2 linked regions of the Saccharomyces cerevisiae S288C genome follow. Each later gene encodes a partner of the first gene's protein in a complex. Each region holds a gene or a part of one and is shown in the gene's direction. Other genes may lie near its edges.

Evidence for each region. Proteins that work in one complex are often made in the same cells at the same time.
Region 2: the proteins of MDY2 (region 1) and GET4 are in contact, whole or in part, in a crystal structure (PDB 3LKU), measured with the Saccharomyces cerevisiae proteins. Residues at the interface, in NP_014530.1 of Saccharomyces cerevisiae: Thr3 (codon at 2,475), Ser6 (codon at 2,484), Glu9 (codon at 2,493), His10 (codon at 2,496), Phe12 (codon at 2,502), Val13 (codon at 2,505), Ser14 (codon at 2,508), Phe16 (codon at 2,514), Leu17 (codon at 2,517), Thr18 (codon at 2,520), Leu19 (codon at 2,523), Ala20 (codon at 2,526), Thr21 (codon at 2,529), Pro25 (codon at 2,541), Lys26 (codon at 2,544), Leu27 (codon at 2,547), Pro28 (codon at 2,550), Lys29 (codon at 2,553), Ser30 (codon at 2,556), Tyr31 (codon at 2,559), Thr32 (codon at 2,562), Lys33 (codon at 2,565), Leu35 (codon at 2,571), Lys36 (codon at 2,574), Val38 (codon at 2,580), Thr39 (codon at 2,583), Asn40 (codon at 2,586), Leu41 (codon at 2,589), Gly42 (codon at 2,592), Val43 (codon at 2,595); in NP_014807.3 of Saccharomyces cerevisiae: Glu128 (codon at 2,335), Tyr129 (codon at 2,338), Lys130 (codon at 2,341), Phe131 (codon at 2,344), Pro134 (codon at 2,353), Leu145 (codon at 2,386), Asp148 (codon at 2,395), Val150 (codon at 2,401), Tyr151 (codon at 2,404), Arg155 (codon at 2,416), Met158 (codon at 2,425), Leu159 (codon at 2,428), Gly160 (codon at 2,431), Trp175 (codon at 2,476), Gln178 (codon at 2,485), Val179 (codon at 2,488), Thr186 (codon at 2,509), Glu189 (codon at 2,518), Phe190 (codon at 2,521), Arg193 (codon at 2,530), Phe196 (codon at 2,539), Asn197 (codon at 2,542), Phe200 (codon at 2,551), Ile201 (codon at 2,554), Ser202 (codon at 2,557), Asn203 (codon at 2,560), Ile204 (codon at 2,563), Ser205 (codon at 2,566), His208 (codon at 2,575), Glu227 (codon at 2,632).

What each region holds. Positions count from the first base shown.
Region 1 is NC_001147.6:106,439-111,364, reverse strand, and holds MDY2 (Mdy2p), read left to right. Parts: upstream 1-2,468; coding exon 2,469-3,107; downstream 3,108-4,926. Other genes in the region: ZEO1 (Zeo1p), read right to left, coding at 727-1,068; SHR5 (Shr5p), read right to left, coding at 1,476-2,189; Rab GTPase-activating protein MSB4, read right to left, coding at 3,177-4,655. UniProt on the Saccharomyces cerevisiae protein: Required for efficient mating. Involved in the production of alpha-factor, the KAR9 and TUB1 location to the shmoo tip and nuclear migration into pheromone-induced shmoos.
Region 2 is NC_001147.6:642,894-646,285, reverse strand, and holds GET4 (protein GET4), read left to right. Parts: upstream 1-1,953; coding exon 1,954-2,892; downstream 2,893-3,392. Other genes in the region: dynamin-like GTPase SEY1, read right to left, coding at 1-1,720; polyphosphatase DDP1, read right to left, coding at 2,979-3,392. UniProt on the Saccharomyces cerevisiae protein: May play a role in insertion of tail-anchored proteins into the endoplasmic reticulum membrane.

The sequences.
Region 1 (4,926 bases):
GCAGAGGGGAGTGGTGCATATCCCACAAAGAAAAGTAGCAACAACAATGATATATATACGTTACTACTAATGCTTTCCTTCATCGAAAGTGTGCCGAAGTATTTATTTAATCTTTTAGTGTTCAACTTACTATAATGTGATACTTTTTCAATATTGTTTGCCGTTGAAGCGATAGTGCTTTATGTCATTTTATCTTTCTTTTACATTGTTTTATTTTAGAGCTAAAATTGAACATCAGTTTGCAAGAAGTCAGTTGGTTGGCCTTTGCTATTAAGAGACCATAATGTTATAGTGATTGAGATCAGTTTCACCAACTAATAACAATTAACCCGGGCGGTTAGTGTAGTGGTTATCATCCCACCCTTCCAAGGTGGGGACACGGGTTCGATTCTCGTACCGCTCATATTTTTACTTTCTTATCAAACTTTTTTTCCTCCGGGACGTGAAATAACCGCCGAGGTTATTCTCGGAGCATTCTTTTTTGTGGCTTTTGATCATCCATCATCATCATCATCATCATTATTACTACTACTACTACTACTACTATTATTATTATTATTATTATTATTATTAGTATTATTATTATTATATTGATTAGTTATTAGATAGATACAATTAAGAAAAATTTATGTAAAAGGTCAGAATAAACAGCATTTTTCTCCTCTTTTTTTATTTTTAAAAAAAGAAAAAGAAACTTCTAGTAAAGTGCAGCACATTCAAGTGTGATTAGTTGAAAATGGAAGCAATTTTACGGTTCAATTTCTTCAAGAAACCGCCTTCCTTCTTGGTTTCCTTCTTCTCACTGACGGCGGCGGAAGCTTGCTTCTTAGTTTCTTCAACTTTGTTGGCAGCTTCGGTCTTCTTTTGTTCGACACCATCAGCAATGTTTTGTTCTTCCTTCTTCACCTGTTCAGCTTCTGGAGTAGCTTCATTTTTTAGGTTGTCGATAGAAGCTTCAGCTTGTTCCTTTACTTCTTGGCCCTTGTTTTGCAAAGATTCTTTGGTTTCTTCCAACTTTTGTTGGACATCTTGGGCGGCAGTTTCAGCTTTGTTTTGAATTTCAGACATTATTAATTGATATAAACGTAGTTTTGTATGTTTCTTTGATTTGAACTTTTAAGTATACAGAGAAAAAAACCGATCAAAGAAAACTAAAGTATAATGAGGTTAAAAACGAAAGTAATAAAGTAGAAAGGCTATCAAGCAAACTGAGATGATCTTCGACGTAAAAACTCGCTCTATATATATACGCCATATAAGCCCATCGGCGATGGGGGACAACACGAAGAAACAAGAGAAGAGGAGAACCGCACAGAAAGCAGCAGAAACAGAGCAAACCAGCATTAACTAAAGATGATAAAAATAAAATTAGGTAAGAAACCTTAATTGGATATACAAAAATACACTGGAGGCACAAATCGCCATCGATATAAAACACGATAAAGCCCTGGTGCACCCATAAACCACACGTTTAACTATTTGGGTCGGGGCACGACGAAATCTAGGGATAGGCACCCGGACCGTCGGGGCAATACTAGGCGCACACCGCGCTCGTGAAGCAGACCTCCCGGCGAGTTTAGCTGCGCCACGTACTGCTCTAACGCGAGAGACTCCTGAAACACAGGTCTAGAAAGAAGGGGCCCCAAAACCCAGCTCCACAGACCGCCCGTAAGCATATCGAGCAACAGGCCACTTAAGTTACGCCACCCGAACACCTCACCTTCTTCACGCAGCAAGAATCCGTTTACCCGGTGCACAACCTCCGCGAGCTCTGCCGCACTAAGATATTCTGACAGAGGCGAGACGGAGGAGCAGCCAAACACGTGATCCCCAATGTCGTAACGCCCGCACCGCACAAAGCTAGTGCCATCGTCGCCCACGATTGCCGCCGGCTCGCTACCGGGAAGCTGTGTACTAAATTGTGGCGTTTCAAGGCTGCTGCGAGACTCATCGAACCGCCGGGGCACTCGTACCACCCGGGTCACCTGGAACTCGGCAGAGCCCCGAGCAGCATACACATTCGGGAAATGTGTAATACACAATTTGTGGTCTTCGTCGTGCTCTGTGGGTTTAGCGTCTTCGGAACCGAGGTCTTCGTAGAATGAATACGAAAACTCATGGTAATTAAAAAATAACGCCCTTTCGCTCGTATTTGCGTTATCTTCTTCCTTTTGATGGCTATCGCACATCTAGTAAGGGTTAGATTGAGTATTGTCCTCTAATGTAACTTTTTCCTCTTATTCCTCTCCTCCCCTTAGCTATTATATATCTTTTTTACCGAATCTTGAATTAGGAATAGTTTTAAAATCAGGCCGGAGGCCGAGCTTGCGACAACTACGACCAAAAAAAACAAAGGAAAAACGAAAAGAAGAAAACATGCACAGGAGAACATAGTTGGAGAAAAGGGTTAGAACAGACCGATACAGAGATAAACTAGCGAAGAATAATAACTTTATACAAAATTAATCATGAGCACATCCGCCAGCGGTCCAGAACACGAGTTCGTTAGTAAATTCTTGACCTTAGCCACTTTAACTGAACCGAAGCTACCAAAAAGCTATACTAAACCTCTGAAGGATGTTACCAATTTGGGTGTCCCGTTGCCTACTTTGAAGTATAAATATAAGCAGAATCGTGCCAAGAAGTTAAAACTGCACCAAGATCAGCAAGGTCAAGACAACGCCGCCGTCCACTTAACCTTAAAGAAAATTCAAGCTCCCAAGTTCTCCATCGAGCATGATTTCAGCCCATCAGATACTATCTTACAAATAAAACAGCACTTGATCAGCGAGGAAAAGGCCTCCCACATAAGCGAGATAAAACTGCTTTTGAAGGGCAAAGTCCTCCACGATAACCTGTTCTTATCGGATTTGAAGGTCACGCCTGCCAATTCCACAATCACAGTCATGATTAAGCCGAATCCGACTATATCTAAGGAACCCGAAGCCGAGAAATCCACTAACTCCCCTGCTCCTGCTCCTCCACAGGAACTCACTGTGCCCTGGGATGATATCGAGGCTCTTCTGAAGAACAATTTCGAGAACGATCAGGCTGCGGTTAGGCAAGTCATGGAGCGTCTACAAAAAGGCTGGTCTCTGGCCAAATAAGATTAGTATAGTTAGTACGTACATACTTGTTATTTTACACAGTTGCGCTTTTTATCACGGTTGCGCTTACTATTTTCTTCTTTCCTTTGGGCGGCTACTCGCCCTTTGTCTATTTCTCGCCATCGCCACATACTCTCTACCGCGATCAATCTTTTCCTGGGTAATACCATTCAACGCAACCTTCTTCTTCATCAGGACTTTCTCAAAGATATCATTCGGATTGAGCAATCTTTTTGGGAAATTTTGAATCACTTGCAAAATCTCCATATCTGCCTCTTCCTGCGTCTTAATCTTGTTCTTTAATCTTTTGAAAGTTGAATCAGAGTCATTACTACCACCGAAGGTGTACGAAGAGTACTGTCTAAACAGTTTCTGGCTTTTACTCTCCAAAAACTCGCTTTCGCTCAATTTCAGTATCCCCAAAGCCACTTTAAATAAAAAATGAGACTCTTCATAGAATAAACAGTCCCATATTCTCAGGGTCGTTTCGATGGGCACCACGCCCACAAAACAGCTCATAAACCAACTTGCCGTACACAGCGTCAGCGTAGGCAGCCTGCAGAGATATTCTTCCCCCGATGCTGGCCCTGATATCTGGTCAGTGCTGCCATTGCCATTCATATACGATGACTCAATGTGTGACCATATCTCGGGTAAATATTCCTTGATACATAACACCAACACCCCTTGATCCACGTTCGCACCCTCTAAGTCTGATTCATACACGCCAGGTAAATACTTACCGGTAATAATAACCAGCATCCAAAATGCTTTCTCTTCTTCCATGAACAATAATAGCAATCCAACGAGAAAATTCATCGATTGGCAGTATCCAATAGTCTTGTCATAAACAGAAAAGGCCATTAATACTCGACGCAATGATCGGATGATCGCCGGCTCTCCATTTTGGAAGGACTCCTTATGGAAATGTATATTATCGGGAAACGTTCGATAAAGATCCCGTTCTATAGCTTCCATATCTTTACCAGATACGGCACCCTCGCGACAGTCACTTTTCAGTCTATCATAAACGCCAACATTTGCGTCTAATTGTCGTTGTCCACCAGCAAAATACCACCAGGCATTCCCTCTCCATTCTGCTGGTATACCTTTTCTAACAAATTTTGACAATTCATCTGTCCTTGCAGGATATACTAGAGGATTATCATTGTGGAGCTCAATCTTATTCTTAAGAAGAAAGTTCTCCCACTTTTTTTTTCTTCTTTCGGTGTATCTATTATATTCTGTCCACCATTTGTCGTATTCTTCCTGACTAATGAAATATCCTTTCTTGCTAAATCCATATCTATCAAAATTCTCAGGATCTGCCATGATTAAGCTGGTAAACGCCTTTGCTTTTTCAAGCTCACGTGTTGTCAATATTTCTTTTCGTTCTACTGTAGAACTATCATCCCCTTCATCGTCGTCATCGTATAAATCAAGAACGCTATAATTGGCATCGTCTTCGTTGAATGACGAAACTGTGTCAAAAACACTTTCGTTCGGTACCAAGGCGGCTTCTGTCGACATAGTTGATGACATTATCATCCTGTCATGCCGGGTTTTGCCTTCTGTGATTGTAAAAGTGTGCGAGTCTTCCTCGATTTTGAATTACTTCGGTGCCAAATGTACAAAATACTATCCTAACTTTTCAAAAATAGTTTATTCTTATAAAATCATCCGTAAAATGATTAACTGTCCCCGCTAAAAGCGTTTGTAAGCTCAGTTCATAGATATGTCTTCCATCCGTAAATCCGCCTAACGAATAGCAACACATTCTTTTTCCTTTTACATTTTCTATTGACATAACGCGAAGCAA
Region 2 (3,392 bases), 540 kb from region 1:
CTTCAGCATCATATCTGAATACATCTTCAAACCTGTCTCTCAATATACTAACAATCGTATCTATTTTCAGGTAGTCATGTACTGTGGTATCCAAGGTTCTCCACGCCAATATTCTAATATTTTTGTAAATCTTCGCGTTTTCGCTCTCTGAAAGTCCAATTTTAAAATCATATTTATCTTTTTCCACTTGATACGCAGATATATTGTCTTTGATAGTAGATTCAAAATCGTTCATTATATCATCCCAAACCTTTTTGGATGGATGTGATAGTAAATGAATCACATGATCCTTTAATTCGGGAACCAGATTTTTTTTAATACGACCGATTTTTGCTTTCAATTCAGCATCACGTAGTTGCTTGATTCTTTCTTCAATATCGTCGGAAAATTTGCAGGTAATCTCTTCGTTTGATATTAGTAGCCCTAACTTTTTGAAGGTCTCCATTGATTCGTTAAATTCTTTCTCAATCTTACTCTTACCTGCCGCCACACTTTCTACAAAAGAGGTAGTAGCTTTGTCTCTAGAAGACACCTCCAATTTTAAATCGTCCCATAACTTTTCCATTAATGATTCCAAGAACTCATTAATTGTACCTGAAATATGTGAATTCAGCTTTGTATTTAAAGCTTCTCGTTTCTCCATATAAACGTTTCTTGCATAGCGCGATGCTTGTTCATCATATTTTGTCAGACATTCTTCTTTTAGCTTCACTAGCTGAGATGTTAAAGATCCCAAGTTACCCTTTAAAGGAGCAATCGATTCATCATATTTTGAAATGAACTCTTCTAGAGCTTCATTAGATATTTCTTCAGTTTTAAATCTAGCAACCAGAATTTGCTGAGTTGGAAGATCTAAATCCTTGTTACGTTCAATTTGATCCCAACAATTTTCTGCGTACATAGTCCAACCATCTAATGGCAACCTATGGTGATATTGAGGTTTGAAATAATAGTTTTCCGTACCTTTCATCACAAACGAATCACCTAATTTCTTGACATCCTGGGTAAATTTGTCTTCTTGCAACAACTTATGAGCTAGCCCGACAAACTTTAAATCGAAATAATCATACAGGCTAGAACCCTCACAACCAGCAGGTTTACTTAACTCTGTCCATATTTTTTCCAATTCTCTCGTAACGGAATCACTCAAACTCGAGAGTGGAGTCACACCTACATGATCTCTAATTACAAAAAGTAACAGCACCTTGTGGTCATTATCATTCTTGCCAAATAGGGAAAGGTTGACCTCAAAAACTGTTTTTAATAAAGCCATATTATTACCTTGATATAGCCCAATTTGCTGCTCCCACATATTAACTATAAGAACTTCAGATACTGCAATGGCAAATAAAGCGGCTTTTCTCTCAAAATCTTGGTCTTCACCTCTTTCTGAACCATCGGAGCCCTCAACATCTAGCACAAAAATATCTGGACGATCATTATCGATTTCAATAGTTGTATTAACCTGTTTAGTGTGAGCCAACCAAATGCCTTTAGTAGTCTGCTGCCTTTTCACCTGAGCATCCATGGTATCAAAGTTGGTGTTAAACAAGACGTTAAGTAAAGTCGATTTACCACTCGATTGAGAACCGAAAACTGAGATGACATGGTAATCTAGACCAACATCACGATTTCCAATACATTGTTGAAAATATTGTAATGCACTTTGATGAAATTCCTTCTCTTCATCTATCAACTGAATAGCAGGTCTATCAGCCATGACTAAAGTATGTCAACCGTCGAGTGAGTTAGTAGCCCGTTTGTTGAAATAAGTCAATAATTATTTACCATCAAAATACACCTTTCAGTATTTTGTTCGTTTTGTCGCTCTTCGTTAAGGTAACAAACAATGGGAAAAAAAGTGAAAGGAAAGTCAAAAAAATGAAATAATAACATGTGCGGTAAAACAACCAAGTAAACATCATAAAGGGACATAAATAATAATAACAAGCTATGGTTCCTGCTGAATCTAATGCTGTACAAGCGAAACTCGCTAAAACCTTACAAAGATTCGAAAATAAGATCAAAGCTGGAGATTATTACGAAGCGCATCAAACGTTGAGAACTATTGCTAATAGATATGTTAGAAGTAAATCATACGAGCATGCCATAGAACTAATTAGTCAAGGGGCCCTTTCATTTTTAAAGGCGAAGCAGGGCGGTTCAGGCACGGATTTGATCTTCTATCTTTTAGAAGTTTATGATTTAGCGGAAGTTAAAGTTGATGACATCTCAGTTGCTAGATTGGTTAGATTAATAGCCGAATTGGATCCTAGCGAGCCCAATTTAAAGGACGTTATTACTGGTATGAACAATTGGTCTATCAAATTTAGTGAATACAAATTTGGAGATCCTTACTTGCACAACACCATTGGTAGCAAACTATTAGAGGGAGATTTCGTTTATGAAGCTGAGAGATATTTTATGTTAGGTACACATGATTCAATGATCAAATATGTCGATTTACTATGGGACTGGTTATGCCAAGTTGATGATATCGAAGATAGCACGGTGGCTGAGTTCTTCAGCAGATTGGTTTTCAACTATTTATTCATCTCTAACATATCATTTGCACATGAATCAAAAGACATTTTTTTGGAAAGATTTATTGAGAAATTTCACCCCAAGTACGAGAAAATTGATAAAAATGGTTATGAAATAGTTTTTTTTGAAGATTATTCCGACCTAAATTTTTTGCAATTGTTGCTAATTACCTGTCAGACTAAGGATAAGAGCTATTTCTTGAATTTAAAGAACCATTATTTAGATTTTTCTCAAGCTTACAAAAGTGAGTTAGAATTTTTGGGCCAGGAATATTTCAATATTGTTGCTCCTAAACAAACGAATTTCCTACAAGACATGATGTCGGGATTCCTGGGCGGATCGAAGTGAAAAGAGCATATTTGCGAAGGAATAGATAAATATGTTTGCGGTGGCTTGACGACCATGACGTATATACATATATATGTATGTGCTAGCTATTTGTCGTCTTTAATGATAGCAGACCTATTAAGGGCCTCCAACAATTCAGGCCTCTTGGCGTCTATCAAGTTTTGTTTAGCTTCTGTATAAGAGTATAGCTTTCTATGTCTTTTGTGACATTCCGGAAATTTATCAAGGAGATTTTCAATCTCTAATTCATAAAAATGAAATTCGGTTCTTGGCGGGTGCTTTGCTACTTCTGAATCTTTTCGAGAGTTCTCGAATTGCTTAATGTCTTTGTTCCAGTCCTTAGGGGGTCTCATGTCTTCAACTGTACCCAAATTGGCGACAATTTTACCTATGCAACCAGCTTCCTCCCAAGTTTCTCGTTGGGCAGTCGTCTCGTAATTAGGCTCGTCTTTCTCAACGCCACCTTTGGGGACAATCCATCTTTTCTTGTGTGCAGAAGA